2 linked regions of the Drosophila melanogaster genome follow. The protein of the gene in region 2 interacts with the protein of the main gene of each other region in a pairwise test. Each region holds a gene or a part of one and is shown on either strand. Other genes may lie near its edges.

Region 1 (3,926 bases), about 10 Mb from region 2:
GAGGAGAGAAAAAGCGGTATGATATACACAAAAAAATAAAATGTATAATACATTCATAGAACTTGTTTATCACATAATACCAAAGACAACGAGAAACAATATTAAAATACAAAATGTTTGTATATCTAAAAGATTTCTCAACTCAAATTAAATTTGGTACACTATCCAGAATCACATCTTAACAATTTCTTAACATATTTTTCACAGTGCATTTAATAGGTCAAGCGCAAGTGAATTTGTGCGTGTATCAATTACCTTTCCGCTAATCAATAAAGTTTCAAGTTCACACACCAGACACAACCATTTACCTTGATGCGAGTGCGAAATTAATGAACACTCAAGAGGCACCGATCATTAGATACTCTTAGTTATTTTAGAATTGTTGTATTTTATAGTATTTAATAGTTTAACTTTCTATCGAAAAAAATGTATAATGTAGAAAGTTATATAAAAAACTATTATTTGGTTTTTGTGGCAAAATGTAAATTTTAATGTTGCTCTAAAAAATAGCGGAAATGGTAATTTGACTATCGAATGATAACTATGTAGATATCAGTGTACCAATTAGTCTAAGACTGAATAAAAGCTATTATCGTAGTTGGCGTAAAACATTAAATTGCCATGATACCCTATAAAAGGGTATAAGAAGGCAAGAGAGACGCACTCAGTGGGGTTTTGCATTCCATTAAAAAAAAACCCTGGACGAGCCCCCTCTAGGCGAAGAAGAAGAAGAGCGGTCCAAGGGCATGAAGTAATTGCGGAGCGGGGTGCGAGGGGGAGGTAGAGGTTCCGTAGTACTATAATACTTTTGTGGTTACTATTCCCGATCTGGGGCCTTTGCAGCCGACTTATGATAGGTTGTGGCAGATGATCCACATCCGTCAGCAGAAAAAAATAACTAGTTGTGCTGCCCCAGACAATGCGGCCGCGCGCTTTCTTTGCGGTTTGCTGTTGCTATTGCCATTGCTTTTGATTGATGATTCATTGGGCGGCGGGGAGAAAAGCACACGCGGCACTCGGTCAATTGCGTCATCAATGCGGCAAGTTAATTTTACAAAAAACCACATGTGACGTCGCCGACGTCGCTTGTTTTGCATTGCGAAATTTCACTTTTCATTTGGGGCGGCCGGCGCAAGCGCTTTTCCGCCGACGAGACGCCCACCTGCACTTTTCCAATTATATAAGAACAGTCCTTGAAATTAAATGGGGAAAAACGTTGGAAAATACCAATCAAATGCCTGCTAAATGCACTTTTTAGAAAGGGGAACACGCGGCAGTGTCTCATTGATCGCTGAAACGATGATGGTAATTCCTGGAATTCCACATGATGCAAAAGCGGACCTCGAATGTGGGACAAGTGAAAAGCACGCGAAATGCGAGTTTTCCGCTGAATCCAGTACTAAGTCTAAATGGACCATAGCCCCGCAGACTTTTTGCAAATTAACGCACATGATTTGATTATTTTTACACTAAACTTGCTTAAAGTTTAAATATTTACGTTTTTACAGCCGAAAACTTTTGCGTTAGTGGTGGGACTGTTAATGCTAGCGCACGGCCTGGACTCTCAAACATATCGAAACGCTATCGTTTTGTGCCAGATATCGATTATTTTTACAGTTTTGGTGAGCGGTAACACTAGCATACAGAGCTTATTCCTATGCGACTGCAGATGGCGCCACTGTGGAAGATCATGAAAGGCGCGATGTAAAAAGTCTGTAAGTAATATGTAAAGAATTCAAAATTTTTCCGTAATCTACTTAAACCATTTGATACCTTTAATTTAATAATATAGGTTCAAGATATTATTATTATTATTATTATTTTATTATTATTATTTTTTTGTAACCACGATTGGGTTGACTTCTGCTTGACACTTTTCCATTTTGAATATCCGTGAAATCATATCAAGTTATTTAAGAAACATTGAAACGAAATTTTCAAAAGAAAAGCGAGAAACATATGTTTAGTAATTTCCAACAATGTTTGAAGCCACCTACATTGTTTTTCTCAGGAATAGTCGCAATAGTCGCGGCCTGACACAAAAACTGGAATTCAACTTGCACTAAACCATTTAATTGCTACGCACACTAGACAGAGACTAATATCTGCTGTATTGATCCAGACAGTAGCCGGTAATTTGGTCCGATATACAGTCAAAGACATTGTAAAATCCCAAATAAGAAGACTTTACTCGTTGAGTTTTTGTAAGAAAACTGATTTTATTTGGAAATATCTTCGGTTTAAATAGGTGACATGAGAATCGCATCTTAAAGTAAATGGCCTACGCAGAGGCCTACGTAAATAGTCCCCGCCTTATCGAGGTCCCACGCTCGGGCACATCTGCCTATCTTGAGCGGCGAGGACCTTATCTGTGGTCTCCCACTAAGGGACTATTTTAGGAGGCGGGGAACGATCTCAAGTGACTGACTCATGTAGTGTGCACTTAAATTACATGTTTTTGAGCAATGCACCCATGTCGCCTTAGATAACAAAATCCTAAATATAATTTATCGCTCTCGATTCATTTACATAAGATATGAACGGAGCCCAAAATTGTAAGTCTTTAAATATATTCGTGTTCATGTGTGAACATTCTGCCAAAGGGCCAGCAAAGCTGAGATGTACATTAGTATATTAGTTGCATTTATAACAGTAGTGGACTGTATTTATTTGATATATGTTCATTTATTTTGCAACTAAGATTTCAATGGGCCTAGTTTTTCTGGCTTTTAATTTTATTGGATTACAATTATGGTTTATATTATTTTTAATTCAACAATTTGTACTTAATTAACTTATTTTAAACATTTTGCTTTTTCTATGTAGAAGTACATTTTCTATTAGTGGACTGTATATTTTTATTTGTTATATTATTTTATTGTTTATTTACTATTGATATTTATAGTACTGGCAACGGACCTGCAAAGGTTATTGCTTGCATTCTTTGTTGCACAGCACATTTCCGTATGAAATATATTATTAATACTATCATTAGTATTAAAGCAATAATTAATCCAGCATGTCCGGAAATATGATGGAAATGTAAATCTTTCAATTTTTGATGGTTCTCTTTCATAAATTTAATTTCATTATTCAATCGTTCAAATTCCTCAGTATGATTTAATATTGATAGTTTCAGCGGATCCCAAATAATCTTCGGCACTCCACTAACTTCTCCTATATAAGGTGTTGATAATAATTCTTCACTTTCGGACTGAATGTTATGGTGGGCAACTAGAATTTTATCGTCGGTTCTTGCCGTACAATATGGCGCAATGCTTAAAACTCCTTGCTGAGGCAAATCAAACAATTCAATTTGAGAGCCAGTACATTGCAGACGGACTTTTGAATTCGCAGGAACCTTAAACAACCAACTACTTTTCTTTTCTAACTCTACCCAGTAACTTTTAGAGTCGACTACTGTTTTATAGATGCAGTTCGCCGCTTTATCTGGCTTTAGAGGCTGAATCTCACATGCATTATCATTCGCTGAATTCCAGGGCCAACTTCCTTTGCATATTCTCTTATTTAGTTGCCATTTCTGACATTGATTTAATGTGGCTTCCGTCATTATGTGATAGGAATCTATCTCAAAATTATAAATTAAATATTCGGACGTTGTATGCACCATTATTATCCGATCTTCATTTCGAATTGGCACCGGAATAAGCCTGAACAATTTGGATGGATGCCTGCTAAACAGAGGCACTTTTGCACTAATGATCAATTTATCGTCGATGAATAAACCCCTGGCTGTTAACAGTGTATACACCTCCTTAAGTTCCGTACCTGACCGTTTTCCTGGAATTACTAGGTTCTCTGAAAGACTCTGCTGAATTTTGGCAATTTCTTTTTTAAGCTGATTTGGCCTGAGAATATTTGTATTTAGCCTACCGTGATTAATATCAATCAACAGGCTTATAATG
Region 2 (3,748 bases):
TCTTAATTATCAAGTTCAAGCTAGTTTAATTCAATTTGGTAGCCATGCGCACCAGTTACAAGAAAAACAGACCTTTCGACTTCAAGCTAATTGATCTGGTGGAACCCAATCCTGTGCTCTATAAGAGATCTGGACTCTCGAACTACGATGCCATGAAGGCGAAAACCGATATCTGGGCTCGCATAGCCGAGATGATGGGCTGTGATGGTAAGTCAGCTAATAAAAGAATAAGATATATATATTTAAAGTTATAATCCTCTTAGTGGACTTCTGCCTGATGCGCTGGAACAATCTGCACTATCAGTTTCGCAAGGAGTTTCGCCGCGCGGACACCAGTGGATCCACCTGGCCGTACCTGGAACGCCTGCGATTTTTGGCCGAGATCCAGCCGCCCTCCAAAGTGAAAACCAAACCCAAAACAAACAAACAGGAGGCGACCATCCAGACGGAAACTCCTGTGCAATTTTTGTGGGACACTTTTGAGGATGGGGATGTTCCACAGCAGTCGAGTACGTTCATAATCGAGGAGGTCATCGAGGAGCCCAGTGAACAGATCATCCAAGAGGAAATCATCTACGAGGAACAAGAGCCCGCTGAAATAATCTCGCCCAGAAGCAGCTTTCTCCAGATGGACCAAATACTGGCCCAACTAAAGGAACCGCAGCGGAGAAGGGCAGAACGAAGGATTACAGCATTTCTGCTCAAGTGCCAGCTGCGTGCCTTGAGTAATCAGTCCGTGGAGGACCTTAGCATCTAGTTTCCAGTTCACATACTCTCAAACTTTATTTTTAAAAAACAGAATATAACTAAGATTAAACCTTGCACTTGTCCAATTCCAACCATGCCACTTTCGGCTTGACAATGAACTGATCGCGCGGCAAACTGTCCAGCATGCTGGCCTGCTGGCGGACGTACTTCACCAGTCGCTCGATCTGCGCGTAATCATCACAGTTCATCTCGAAGAAGCGGCGCCACAAGGCGCAGGCCAAAACCCGATCGTCGGACATGATGCCCTCGTCGTAGGCGATTAGGGCCGCTTGGAACTGCTCGGATAAGGTCTCGATTTGCTGACGGGTGCGTGAAGGATTGTGAGCCTGTTGGGAAACACATATGAAGAGCATAAAGATTATATATATAAAGGTGAACTAAAGTAAAACCTACTCCCAATTTCTTGGCGCGTGTGTTAACATCTCCCCACATCGCCTCCACAATGCAGTTGCGCAGGAAGCGTCCATCCTCGCCCGTTTCGGAGCCCTCGGCCATGGAGCGCATCAGGAGTAGCCAAACATGCAGTTCGGTGACCAAGAACCAGGAGTTAAAGGTATTGGGCAGATTGAAGTCGCGGAAAAAGGTCACATAGTTGATCTTGTCGGCGACGCTTTCGTACAGCAGATGACTGGTTACCTTGAGGCGCTGAAATGGGATCACTTCGATGAATATTAATCAAATGGGCAAAGTAATCCGAGTCCTACCGCCTTTGTGTTCGGTGTGAAGCCCACTTTGTTGAGCACTCTCTTCAGAATACCGCCTTCTGCGGCTTCCGCTGTGCCGGGTTTCGTTTTATTGGTATTATCCACAACGCCGGTGGATGAACACAAGCGGCATGGCTGCTCCAGCAGTCCCAGTATCGCTGGCCTGTGCTTATACGTATGTTGTGTTGCCTATAATATGTTTAATTTAAAAATTTTATATCCGTTTATATAAGAGTTGATGGCGGTGCATTCGGATGACCGTGTTTTGACTAAATAAAGTACAACCCCTGCTTTAAACATACCCATGCGGTTCTCGCTAGGCCGCCGGCCAGTCTTGCAACTGCACGAGTGCACTGCATTCTTAAATGTATCCTAAATTTACTAAAACAAAATCGTTTAAAAAATCCAATTGCACGCGACAACAGACTAAAACAGCTGATCGTAACGGGGCTGCCAACTTGGGTATAACGACATGTTAACAGTGACTTGCTAACATATGATTAACAGTAACAGATACAAATCTTTGTAAAGAAAGAAAAATGTTTTTTTTTTTGCATGTGAAAAGTAATAACTATTACTTTATTTTTTATATACTTTAAACCTTTGCAGTCTTAATTCATAAAATCAAGAAGAGCTTACATTCGGAAGTGGTGTGACCGCATGAAGTTATTATCCGTTCATAACAGTGCAAAACGGTCTTACTATCAACTTCCAGTTGGAAATGTAAATAAATAAATAAATAGAAAATTTAGAGCAAAATAAAAGAAAGTATGATACGTTTGGGGAACCAAATGTGCCGGCAAGTGGCCTTTAATATACAGACTGTATTCCGAAACCCGGGCACCGCGAACAATCCGAGATTAATCACCAGAAAGATGACACAACAGCGACCGCCGGTGAATTGGACAACCAGTATTCCCAATCAGGCGGCGAAGGACAAGGAGAAGATAGCTCCTTTGGGATGGTTCCTCCTGGTGGGTAGACACCAACTCCTCTACCTATACACACAACTAATCCTTGTTGTCCATTAACCAATCCCCAGCTCATACCGGCCACCACTTTTGGCTTGGGCTGCTGGCAAGTGAAGCGCAAGATTTGGAAGGAGCAGTTGATCAAGGATCTCAACAAGCAGCTGAGCACGGCGCCTGTGGCTCTACCAGACGAGTAGGTTTGCCCACATATTCTCCACTATATACCCACCCACTATAGTGTATTCCCTCCTGTAGTCTCACTGACTTGGCCCAAATGGAGTACCGCCTGGTCAAGATCCGTGGACGTTTCCTTCACGACAAGGAGATGCGCCTGGGTCCGAGATCGCTGATACGGCCCGATGGCGTGGAAACCCAAGGAGGACTCTTCTCGCAGCGCGACTCGGGCAATGGCTATCTAATAGTAACCCCTTTTCAGCTGGCAGATAGAGAGTAAGTTGTGCTCAAGGAAATCCCATAGAATCATCTTAATATCGTTTCGCCCCCAGCGACATAGTGCTCGTCAATCGGGGCTGGGTGTCCCGCAAGCAAGTGGAGCCGGAAACCAGGCCGCTGGGCCAACAACAGGCGGAAGTGGAGCTCACCGCCGTCGTGCGCAAAGGAGAGGCGCGTCCGCAGTTCACACCCGACCACAAGGGCAATGTCTATCTCTATCGCGACTTGGCGCGCATGTGCGCCGCCACAGGAGCAGCTCCTGTGTTCCTGGACGCCGTCTACGATCCGCAAACGGCTGCACATGCTCCAATCGGTGGACAGACACGCGTTACCCTGCGCAACGATCATCTGTCGTACCTGGTGACCTGGTTCAGTCTATCGGCGGCCACCTCCTTTTTGTGGTACCGCCAAATAGTCAAGAGGATACCCTTCTGAAAAAGGGAACCCAAATCAAACGCACTGTTGTTATTTTTATTATAAAAATTTACATGCTCTCGTGTAAATGCTGGTTTTTATTGGCCCGCCGCAGGAGGGGATTATTGTCCTGCTGGGACTTAATATTGCAACTACCGATCCTCGAGTGGCGGATCGACAGGGGAATAGGAATAGGAATATGAATACAAATACGGTTCGAGGGTTTCCCTTGCGGGTGTGCCTAGTTGAATACTTTAACTATTTAGAAACACACTCGTTAGTTTGGGTCGATATGGGGAAAGCTACATAATATTATATTGTCTGATCAAAAATAGTTACTACGTTTTATAACTTTGTGGTTAATCAATCATTGCCTTATGTTGTTCAAATAAGTAATTCGCTTTCTAGTTATATACAGAAATGTTTTAAAAGCTTATA

What was found.
Region 1: the proteins of Uqcc1 (region 2) and Ogdh interact in a two-hybrid assay, tested with the Drosophila melanogaster proteins (one large-scale study listed by BioGRID).

Annotation. Positions count from the first base shown.
Region 1 is NT_037436.4:16,953,115-16,957,040, reverse strand, and holds the start of Ogdh (oxoglutarate dehydrogenase), read right to left. Parts: upstream 2,220-3,926; 5' UTR 2,162-2,219; coding exon of another isoform or gene 2,099-2,161; 5' UTR 1,998-2,098; intron 1,716-1,997; exon of another isoform or gene 1,714-1,715; 5' UTR 1,499-1,713; exon of another isoform or gene 1,450-1,498; intron 1,278-1,449; exon of another isoform or gene 1,228-1,277; intron 17-1,227; exon of another isoform or gene 1-16.
Region 2 is NT_037436.4:6,956,191-6,959,938, forward strand, and holds Uqcc1 (Ubiquinol-cytochrome c reductase complex assembly factor 1), read right to left. Parts: upstream 1,919-3,748; 5' UTR 1,832-1,918; coding exon 1,775-1,831; intron 1,662-1,774; coding exon 1,473-1,661; intron 1,414-1,472; coding exon 1,162-1,413; exon of another isoform or gene 1,095-1,161; coding exon 813-1,094; 3' UTR 758-812; downstream 1-757. Other genes in the region: CG9948 (uncharacterized protein), read left to right, coding at 45-207, 264-757; Surf1 (surfeit 1), read left to right, coding at 2,243-2,446, 2,515-2,636, 2,699-2,893, 2,950-3,331. UniProt on the Drosophila melanogaster protein: Required for the assembly of the ubiquinol-cytochrome c reductase complex (mitochondrial respiratory chain complex III or cytochrome b-c1 complex). May be involved in cytochrome b translation and/or stability.